Linked DNA regions of Caenorhabditis elegans. The protein of the gene in region 1 interacts with the protein of each later gene in a pairwise test. Each region holds a gene or a part of one and is shown on either strand. Other genes may lie near its edges.

Region 1 (5,902 bases):
AGTAAAATTTAAAACTACGAGTATGCTGTCTGACACATAACTGTGGCATTCGGATGACAAAAATTCAAAATAATTCATGAACAAATACCATCAAAACGTGAATTCCACAGAGAAGGCAATTAGGGCTCAAATATTTCACATGGCATAGAAATACTTCAGTTCTTCTATACGGTTGACACAACCCAACATTCTAAGATACTTAGATACTTACTTACTTACTTAGAGAGAGAAACGTGTACAATGATAGTAACGTCGTTAAATAATATTTAAATGATATAGCACATAAATTTCAGTGTTTCTACTAAGTGGCACAACTATGCAAAAAATGTTGCCGCGAGTTCATAAACTATTTTTGAGAGTTTTTTATTTAGTATTTATGTAATTTGCGCGTGGATCACGATTTACTACCCTCGTTTCTCATTTCCCTTGATTTTTCTCAAAAACCCTGTCGTGAAAATGTCAAAACCCAGCAGAAAGGTAAAAACGAAAATAGGAAATTGTAAGTTTCGCGAGGTAATTAAAAAAAAAAATTAAAGGACGATCCGTTCTTCAAGTGCTATGCACTGCGGATCTGGGATTCAGGTACACTGCCTGGTGGTGATCCCTCTGGGCTGTAATTTAAGCCACGTCCTAGCCGGGGACTGTGGCCGATAATCCTGTCGTGGATTGCTCCACTTCCCAATAGAGGCTGGGTAAACCTAGGGGGTGAGGCCGGACTTGAACTCGTGACCTCCAGACTGCTAGCGGCCACCACTACCGACTGAGCTATCTGCCCCCTCGCATTTAACTAAAATGCAAATATGCTCACTGGTGTGAGTGTCTAAACAATAAGTTTATTCATAACTGTGAAAAAGATAACCTCCGTGAAAAATTTTCTATATCCTACATACAATAGTTTTTTTTTTAATTTATTATCGTTTTCGAGCTAGTAGTCAATTTTTCAGTTATTTGGCTGAGTGTCCACCATAATATTTTTTCAAAAGTTTTTGAGTTTGTAACTATAATTATTAAACAAGTCTTGCAGAACATTCTTAACAAGCTGTACTTCACACTTTATTGCTTTCACTGTACCGTTTCACCATTCAATTTGGGAAGCGTTCGATCAAAAAGTGGTGACAAGGACACCCATACATGTACACCTTATACACTGCAATGGCGTAATAATTATATGAATCGTGTAGCTGCTGGAGGTTATCGAACAAAAAAAACAGGTTTCAATCCTACTACCAAATATGATATGTTCTCTTCTCCTCTATTATCACTATTATCACCCATCATCATGTATCATTTTTCTCACTTTTACGTCAAGACCATAACCGATTTATGACTTCTCAACGCTGATTTACAGCCAACCTAACGGAAAGTATTCGGCTATAAAATGATCAGGTATGTGTGTACGTGTGTTGACAGGAATGAGTTATCAGTGTGGTGGAATTCGCAGTGAGGAATACAATACAAACATGGTTAAATCGAAAATTTCCTGGAATTTTAGTGCTAGCTGAAGATGTTTTAAGTGCCCTAACATACAGTTTCGCAACAGGTCTTTGATTCTGATCTAGTACCGTTATACTTAAAAACATAAGCGGTAGAATAGGAATAAAATAATTATCATTGGTTTTGATGATAAGAACAGTTTTTGTTTCTTTGCGTGTGCACTTTCACAGCTCGGCAACCCCACATTTGTGACTCAACGTGTTTGTGCAAAATGAAATGTTCGATTTTTTCTACATTAGTTTTTTTTTGAAACTTTAAAATATGTTCTTTCTAACTGACGTTGAGATTAGTTCATCCCCTTTTTAACTGACGACTCAATTTATAAAATAATAACTTGCATCACCATATTATCTCTGCATAATTAAAAATGTTTCTTTTATAATAGTTTTAGTGCAGGTTTTCAGTTCTTTAGAGAATATCATCACAATTTAATTAGGTATCCCAGAATTTGCGTTAGAAAAGGAAATATAATTATTAGGAGAAAAATAGATTTTTCAAAACTTCAAGTAAGGTCGTTTGACGGCGACAATCCTTTTTCTCAATTTTTCAGCAGATTTGTTGCAGATTTTTAGTACTTTCTGAAAATAATTTTAAGATCTCAGCCAGATTTAGTATTATGGCAAATATTATTTTTTGGCGATTTTTTAAAATTTTCTCAAAATTCAAACGTAGAAATTATATTTTTCTCCGATGTTTCAAAAAAGTTTTTTTAAAACAATTTGTTTTCATCTTTTCTCGAATGTTTTTTGTAGTGTTGTTGACAATATATAAGTTATCCGAATGCTCTCTTGTTAAATTAATAAGTGCAGGGTAAAAAACTGCTTATTTCAAGGGTTAAATTTTGTGTTCTGGTTAATAGTATTTTAAACCCTACAATTTCTTTTTGCCCTATTCAAAAACTATTGCAGTTCAAATCGAAACCTTACACTTCATGAAAGTTTAACTAAACTGCGATGACCAAAACAAACATTTTGCATATTATACATTTTGTACGCCGCAACACATCCCAACTCAAATAACTGATCAAAACTTGTAGAGCACTTTCCGATACTCCTCTGCTCGAGGACATGATCTCCCCAGACTCGAAATTTGTGGGTGAAGCTCTCGAACAGAAGGATGTTAGGACTGTATTTGTCTCGGCGAAGGAAGGTTGGAGTCTTAATTATCTTGAGAATTTTACTGTTTTTTTTTTCAGACAACGAAGAACGCGAAAACCGGGTAGTCTTATTGTTAGGACCAACAAGTTCTCAAAAGTCAGAACTTATCGATTTTTTGTGTAATTATTTTTATGGAGTGGATTCAATGGATCAAAGGAGATTTCACATTTCCAATGAAGTATTACAATTGTAATATGAAAAAGTAAGTATTGAATTGCAGAAATTCAACTCGGAAACTCCTACAAAACCTGTACAGTGCTATATTTTTAACGAAACAAAAATGTCGGTTCGTCCTGTAATTCTGGATATGATCGCGTGTGGAGATACATAGTAGGTTTTTTTTTCAAAATTGGGAAAAAATCATAAAAGTTGCAAATTCCAATGAGCATAATAAATTATTCTTAGAATTAATGTTAAAACAAGAAATAGGATATCTACCGACTTTGGGTTTCTGGTACAAATTAAAATTAAATTAAAACTAAATTGGCCAAAACTTTACCATTTTCTTGAAACTTAGAGCAGTGTCAAATGTTCAAACCCAGTTATGTATTTAATGTACTATTGAATGTAGGCTCTTATTGGGAACAAAAGGACCGTCCCTCTAAGTCCCTCATAGCAGTCATAATCAAATGTACAATTTTGCTGTGGCGATGGAGAGGTCCATGTCATTTAACCACTGTCTTCTACCATTAGGCCAACAACAGGTCGTAAAATCTCGACTTGTTATCTGGTCGTAAATCAAAGTAAATGTAAACAGGACTAAAAAGAACTCTTCTTGTTTTATAAGGTGTTCAATAGTTTTTGGGGTTTCTAGGGACCTTACTTTTAGATTTCTATAGGTTTTGAATTCATTATTTCGAAATTATATGATTTAAATTATCGGCAACTCTTCTGTTCAAAATTCTAAAATTGCAAAAATTTTAATTGTTGAAGATTTCATAATAGGAGCATAGCTTACGTTTTGCATTTTCTCAGCCATTTTTTTGTGTGTTTTTTAACACTTTATTGAAAATCTTATACTATTTTGTTTTTTTTTAAATACGTGATAATCATTTTATTCCTTCCAGATAAATGATCCTAGTAGTTTAAATAGCCGTACGACGGGTGTTTCTTTTTACAAATTTAGCCAGAACTTGTAAAATCCTCCTCTGTTAGGAGCTTTTATGATGATAATATCTGTCTACTTTGGTTAATCTACTAAATTAAAAAAAATACATAATGTATTTCAATTGTTTATTGCAATGTATTTCAAAATTTTTTAACCACTAACTTTACGAAAAATGCAGAAAACTCTTAAGACAGTAATTTTTACAGTACAAAAAATATACAACTTGGATTAAAAAAATACAATAATAATTAAATTTCAGTGATGGTTTCGATTCGCCATCTTTAATACATAAATGGCTTCTTAACAATTGGAAGATGAGACTGGACGTTATTGCAATTGTGTTCTCACAGTTGCACAGAATGAGCATGCACGAAGAAGACGAACTGCAACAGGTATCTAGAACTTGACTTCAGATCCTACTTTCACATTTCCAGGTTCTCTCCAATCTTCCAGAACATGTACGCAACAGTATTGTTGTGTTCATCACAGCGTCCGACGGCTCCAGAACTTTCGAGCCTCTTTTACGAAGATTCGGTTTATCAGAGTGTCCCAAGTTCACTATCAACACGTCTTGTACATTTCAAAAACAAATGGGTGAGTGTGATTGAAATTTTTGTATTGATTCAGCGTTTGCATAGCTTTCTCGCGCCGTGTTAAAAGTTGTAAACAGACCGAATAGTTTTTGGCATTGAGTGCTCTCGATAAGAATTATCACTTTCCATCTCTCTCCATTTTTCGCCCTCTTTTCTCGTAAAACGTGACGACCATTTAAATCAAACATTTTCGGGCTGGCGAATCGCTAGAAAAATAAACTGCCAATCCGGCGATATTTGTTTTTTCCTGTACCTACCAGTGTGGGAATTGCAAAGAAAACGTTCTAATAATTTCAGAAGATCGGCTGAATGACGAACATCGGAGGAGATATTGGAAAATGTCTGTAAATCAATTCGATTCTTTCATGGAGAAAGTACAGGTACTTTTCAATGGCACTTTTTTGCCTAAATAGGAGATATTTACAATTTGGACCTGGTATCTTTTGAAGGCTTGAAATTGTTTGATTTCTCAGCCAGCTAATTGTTCAAAACTTTCAACTGATATGTAGTTGATAATTTGTAAACAAAAGTGGAGTATAGAAACGTTTTTGTATTGCCTCAAAATACTCATAATAGCTCCCAAAACCTATCGTGATGAAACATTGCAAAAAAATTCACAACTCTTTTTAACTTAAAGGTGGAATAGCGCCAGTGGGGATTTTGTCTAAATGTACTTAAAATTACCCGAAACAACCGAATATCATAATAATACACTCCAAAAATTTTAGGTTTTTCGTAATTTTCAGTCAAAGTTTTGGCAAGTTGTCAAAATTTTCAAAAATACGAGCTTTTGAGGAAATCCAAAGCAATTCCGCATGTTTCGACACCTCCGATGCTTTCATACAAAAAATTTAAACAAAATTAAAACATAAAAAATGTCGAAAAAAAATTTTTTTTTGGTCGACTTCCAAAAATATGAATGGCAAAAACTGAGTAATTTCCACTCTTTGACAGTACATAAAAAATTTTCAAAAAATGTTTGAAAAGTTTTATCATGATATTTGGTCATTTTGGGACCAAAGGAGTGGTTTTTAACAATTTCCAAACAATATTTACTTTGTGGATAGTGGTACATTTTCAGCCAAGAAGTATTGCAATTTTGGTGTCTAAAAACTACTAAACTTAAGAAAATTTTTAAATTTCAGGAAACCACCCCAATCACAATCTCGGGTCTCCCATTTGTGGATGATGGTATCTATGGAGTTCAGGAGTCTGGACAAAACTCGTCAAGAAGCAGTGTTTACTCCTCTAGCAAGTAGGTTGCAGTTCTTTTTTTTTCATTCCATTACATTTCCGCTTTCATAAACTAACACTCATTCTCACTCTATTATTAGATCCACAGTTATCGAAGTGGAGCAAAGCTCGAGGCAACAACAAGTTGGCCGACCGACGGAATCACCACCTCTACCACCTCCCCCACTTCCACTATCCAATCCACCTGCCAAACCAACACCCCCACCTCCACCACCAAAGCCGACAATTCGTCCGCCACCTATTCCGGCATCTCCGCCTCCAAGACCGCCGGCAAGTGAGCCTGTTGGCATACCGCT
Region 2 (4,608 bases), about 13 Mb from region 1:
CAATTTCAAACTCATGACTAATCATCACGATTTTGTGCGATATTGTGTAAAAAAACTGCAATCAGCTTCTTTTATCTGAATTTGGATTCTTCAAAGTGTCTTTAATTTTCCTATCACGTCATGAATATCCATTTTCTTTTTTATCAAAGACGATGTGCCACTACTGCCGAGTTGTGCTCACTGCAATTTTCTAACTTTTTACTTTTTACTTTTTACTTTTCACTTTTTTACTCGAGCTCTAGTTCTTCTTTCATCAAAATATTCGAATGTCCGGGAGGGATCTATCAGTCACGAGGTGGACTTTGACACCTTTAATAATGTGGTTTTCGTTCTTCCTGATGGAGTGCTTGCTGGTTTTGACAGCAACTTTTTGGAACCTATTTCATTTTGTTGCGCGTTTAGTTTAAGGATGACGATTTCTGTCTGAATTTATTACAATTATCTGATCTAGTGGCACAAACTCCGGGAGATCAAACACACACAATAGAGAAGATTAACTCATCAGTTTTTGTGTGCCCCCCGTCCCTTCAAAGCTTTATTCCAGCTTTGTTTTATCCAACATTATTCACAAGTGCCAGCCTCTAATATTCTTCATTTCTGATTCTCATCTCTATTAGCCAATTTTGTTTGACTCACACGTCATTTGATCCATTAGCCAAGTTGCCACCTCAAAGGACATTTCATTGGATTAGCCATAATGAATAATCTCCCAAAAAACTTTAATGCTCCTCCTCACATCATCTCAGTCTCTGTGCCATGATTGTTTTCTTCTATCAGTTGTCTATTGCTGCTAGCCTGGAGAAGGTGTGTTTGATTTGTTCTATAATATGGGAACGGAAATCAATTACATTACTCTCCTCCTGTTTGTATTATATCCAATCATTTTCTATATTACTGCTACAATTTTGGGTCACTGACTCATTGCTGAATGTGATAGCTTAAACACGTGACACCTTTCTTGGTGAATCCACCACAATTTTTCTTCAAATCTATGTTGAGTAATCGGATTAATCTATTACTCGGTTTTGAATGCTATGTTTTACATTTTTTACTATGGTGCAAAAATTACCAAATTTCATAGAAAAAGTGTTTTGAAAAATTTTTATTGACAGTCGGAAATACTCAGTTTTTTTTCCATTTTTTGAAAAAAAAAACTATAGCCATGTTGCATATTCAAATCCCTACAATGTTTTAATATTATTACTTGAAACATACGTAGATCATAAAATTCAAAAGAAATTTTTTTTGATTTTTATTTGGCGACTTCCAAAAAATGGCAAATATCTTTTTTTTTAACTTTTCGAAAAAATAATTTGAAATTTTTAAATTTTGAAAAATTGAAAACTATAATACTTTGTACTAACCTAGCCATGAAAAATTGAATGTTGCACATTTTGACTTGCTACTTTCCTCCATTCAATATTCATCTGAATTCAAAATAGTAAAGCATGCAATTTTGGAATTTTAGACTGGTAAATGATGCCGCTCTCAAGAATTGTCTACTCAAAGGATCCAGGAAGAAAAATAAGAAATACCCTTAATTATTAACCGGATTTGGTCTTTGGGAAGATCACACTTTCTTTGTGACAACCTATGTAAAAATTCCAATTAGTTTCATCTTCTTCACTCATATTCAAGTATTCCCAAAGCGCGAAATAAGCGAATGATCAATTGTTTTTTGTTACTCATGTTATTCTAAGTATTACTCATTTATTCATGATCATTAAGAGTCATAATTGTAATAGAGCACTTTTGAATGAAAATCGTGATTTGAGATGTCAAAAATACACTTTTTCACCTCCCTCGATAATTTCTATAATTTTTCACTACACGTCATTTCCCACTTCCGCTCATATCATTAGAAAACCAAGCGGAGACAATGACTTGGCGATATTAGCATATCCCTTAGTTACAAATTCCAAGTTCCATGATTTCACACATATTTATAAATTCTGATTTCGAATTCAATGAGTCCCGAATAATCCGGCATTTGAAACATTGTGCTCCACCCTTTGTTTACATATTCATTTCTTTCTAGCTCCATTTTTTGTGGCCTGTGTGGCAGAATTGTGCGTACCCAGAGCATTTTGGATAAGGTGCAACAAATCAAACATCAACCTTTCAAAACCCCTTAATCCTGTTTTTGATTACAACACAAGTCTCGAAAGTGTTGTTAGCTCAACCTTTCGCCCAATCTCATCCCATAAAACATATAACTTTTGGTATACATTTGATTGGCTTTGGCAATTCCCGGAAGAAAACGCTTTCAGACTTTTGATTCTTACCGTATTACGTTCAATGTTTTTCTTTCCGGAAGTGTTTAAATTTTTTCCTCTGTCCCATTTTCGTCATGCACGAACACCAAGAAACCGTAGTTCAGTTGTTCAGTTTTGTCTTGCATTTCCCAACGGCCCTATATTTTCAAAAAAAAAGGTTATTTCTTAGAAACCACTCAAAAGTCCAGCCCATTTTTTCTCCTCTAAAATTGCAAAAAATTGTCAATTTCTCAACACTCATAAGCCCCGCCTTCCACGATTTCGCATGGTTTTATGTTTTCCCTAAATTGTACTTTTCATATATTTCCTGACATTTCAGACATCAACTTGAGGCAACGATGAAAGCCACATTCGTGCTGGCATGTCTTCTTGTGATAGCTGCTGTTTCCCATGCCGATCTCCTACCAAAACGAATGGACGCAAATGCTTTCCGCATGTCGTTTGGCAAACGTAGCGTAAGTTTGACTTTTTTTTGAAACATTTCATGAAAATTAGCTTCAGGTATCCAATCCAGCAGAGGCAAAACGAATGGATCCAAACGCTTTCAGAATGTCCTTCGGGAAACGATCAGCCGAGCAGAATGAGCAAGCTAATAAGGAAGACAAAGCGACATCCGACAAGCTCTACGACGACACCAAATTTGAGGAGATGAAGCGCATGGACGCCAACGCTTTTCGCATGTCGTTTGGAAAACGCTCGGTACGTTGTCGTCGTCTTTCATTGCGACCCTAATTAGTGCTGGTGTCTAGTTGCTCTTTTTCCAGGATGCTCATCAAGCCGCCGATGATCAGGTCGAGTACGTGAATGATGACTTTTCACTCCCTGAGCAAAAACGTATGGATGCCAATGCGTTCCGCATGTCGTTTGGAAAACGAGTCAACTTGGATCCAAACAGCTTTCGAATGAGCTTTGGAAAGAGAAGTGTACGCAGAATCCGATCATCAACATTCCCCTAATATTCCATTTTTTTTTCAGACAGTCGGGTACAACTTGGACGCTCGGAACTACTTTGTCGGATTGGGACGTCGTTAAACTCCAGCGAACATCAAGCTACTTTCATCCCAATTGCTTCTTCTTAGTCCCAAATATGATAACACTCTTTCCATAAAATCGTTTTTGTGCAATAAATTGATTGTATGGGAAATACATCGAAGATCTTTTAGCTAATAAAATGTTACAAAAATTGCCGTTCAATAAGCTTATAGACCTTTCCAAAGAATACAATTATCAGTAAATGTTCCGCAACTGATGCTCCAAAACTGGATTTTAGGATTATAACGAAAACTTCTGACTGGCTCAGGTATCATGCTGCCGCTACAATTTTTTGCATTGTTCTCTAACATAAGACTAATGTCTGATATCTTGGTGAATATTAGACCTGTGAGAAAATAATTTAAAGCCATTCAAATTATGCTAAAAATGAACAAGTATCCCAACAAAATTTAATTTTGGAAATATTTTTTTCTTGTAAAAAAAATGGTCGACCTGATTTGCGCATTTTTTTGAGAAATCTGAATCACTGCCAAATATTCTAACCCTGCAATGTTTCAGTATGAATATTACACACTTCATTAATTGAACCCAAAACTGGACGAAATTTCGATTTTTTGAACGAAGACTTTAAAAAATTTTAGCAAATTCAGTTTTAACCAATTTTGACTAAAAACATTTTTCAAAATTTTTATTAATTTGGTCAATATAGGAATTTTTTTTAATATTATTTTCTCACATGCCGTAGTCCACTTTTAATCAGAATATCCACAGCAAAAAAGCATCTTCCTAACAGGATTAGTTATCAGCTGATATGCCGACGTGCACTTTGACAAAAAGTCAAGAAGTGACGATAGTGATAAAACACAAATGTAGGTCAATATGGTCACGACTGGAATGTGAAACATTATAGGGACAGAGTGTGTTAAGTTATGAAATTTTCCGTTTCCTCCGAATTTGATAACTGCGTTTATGTCGATCAACTCTGCGTCACTTTAGGGGGAGGACACAATTGAAATTCATTAATGGAATTTTTGATAAGAAACATGAGAGCCAAGTGTGATAACACCGTTTTCTTTTTTATTATCGATTTTGACACTGATTCCGTATTCTGAGAGTTTCATCAAAAATCAAAAAATTGCAAAAATGGCTAGAAAAACCATTGATTCGTAAGTTCTCTAAACTAATAAATAAATCATTACTCCAACTTTTTGCAGAATTCCAGAGCCAATTGCTCTTCCAACAGAAGAAACAGTTCAAAAGCGCATTAAACTGAAAATGGTGGATTTGGATGCAGAAATAGCGAAATTGAACGTACAAGTGCGTAATGTAATAAAACAAA

What was found. Proteins that work in one complex are often made in the same cells at the same time.
Region 2: the proteins of tag-343 (region 1) and nlp-1 interact in a two-hybrid assay, tested with the Caenorhabditis elegans proteins (one large-scale study listed by BioGRID).

What each region holds. Positions count from the first base shown.
Region 1 is NC_003284.9:16,671,392-16,677,293, reverse strand, and holds the start of tag-343 (RNA polymerase II-associated factor 1 homolog), read left to right. Parts: upstream 1-2,561; coding exon 2,562-2,643; intron 2,644-2,689; coding exon 2,690-2,829; intron 2,830-2,871; coding exon 2,872-2,981; intron 2,982-4,018; coding exon 4,019-4,151; intron 4,152-4,193; coding exon 4,194-4,353; intron 4,354-4,649; coding exon 4,650-4,732; intron 4,733-5,497; coding exon 5,498-5,607; intron 5,608-5,686; coding exon 5,687-5,902.
Region 2 is NC_003284.9:3,724,979-3,729,586, forward strand, and holds nlp-1 (Neuropeptide-like protein 1), read left to right. Parts: upstream 1-2,595; 5' UTR 2,596-2,614; coding exon 2,615-2,731; intron 2,732-2,777; coding exon 2,778-2,975; intron 2,976-3,040; coding exon 3,041-3,199; intron 3,200-3,251; coding exon 3,252-3,308; 3' UTR 3,309-3,468; downstream 3,469-4,608. Other genes in the region: t-SNARE protein aex-4, read left to right, coding at 4,413-4,435, 4,484-4,586. UniProt on the Caenorhabditis elegans protein: In AWC olfactory sensory neurons, required for the detection of preferred food sources.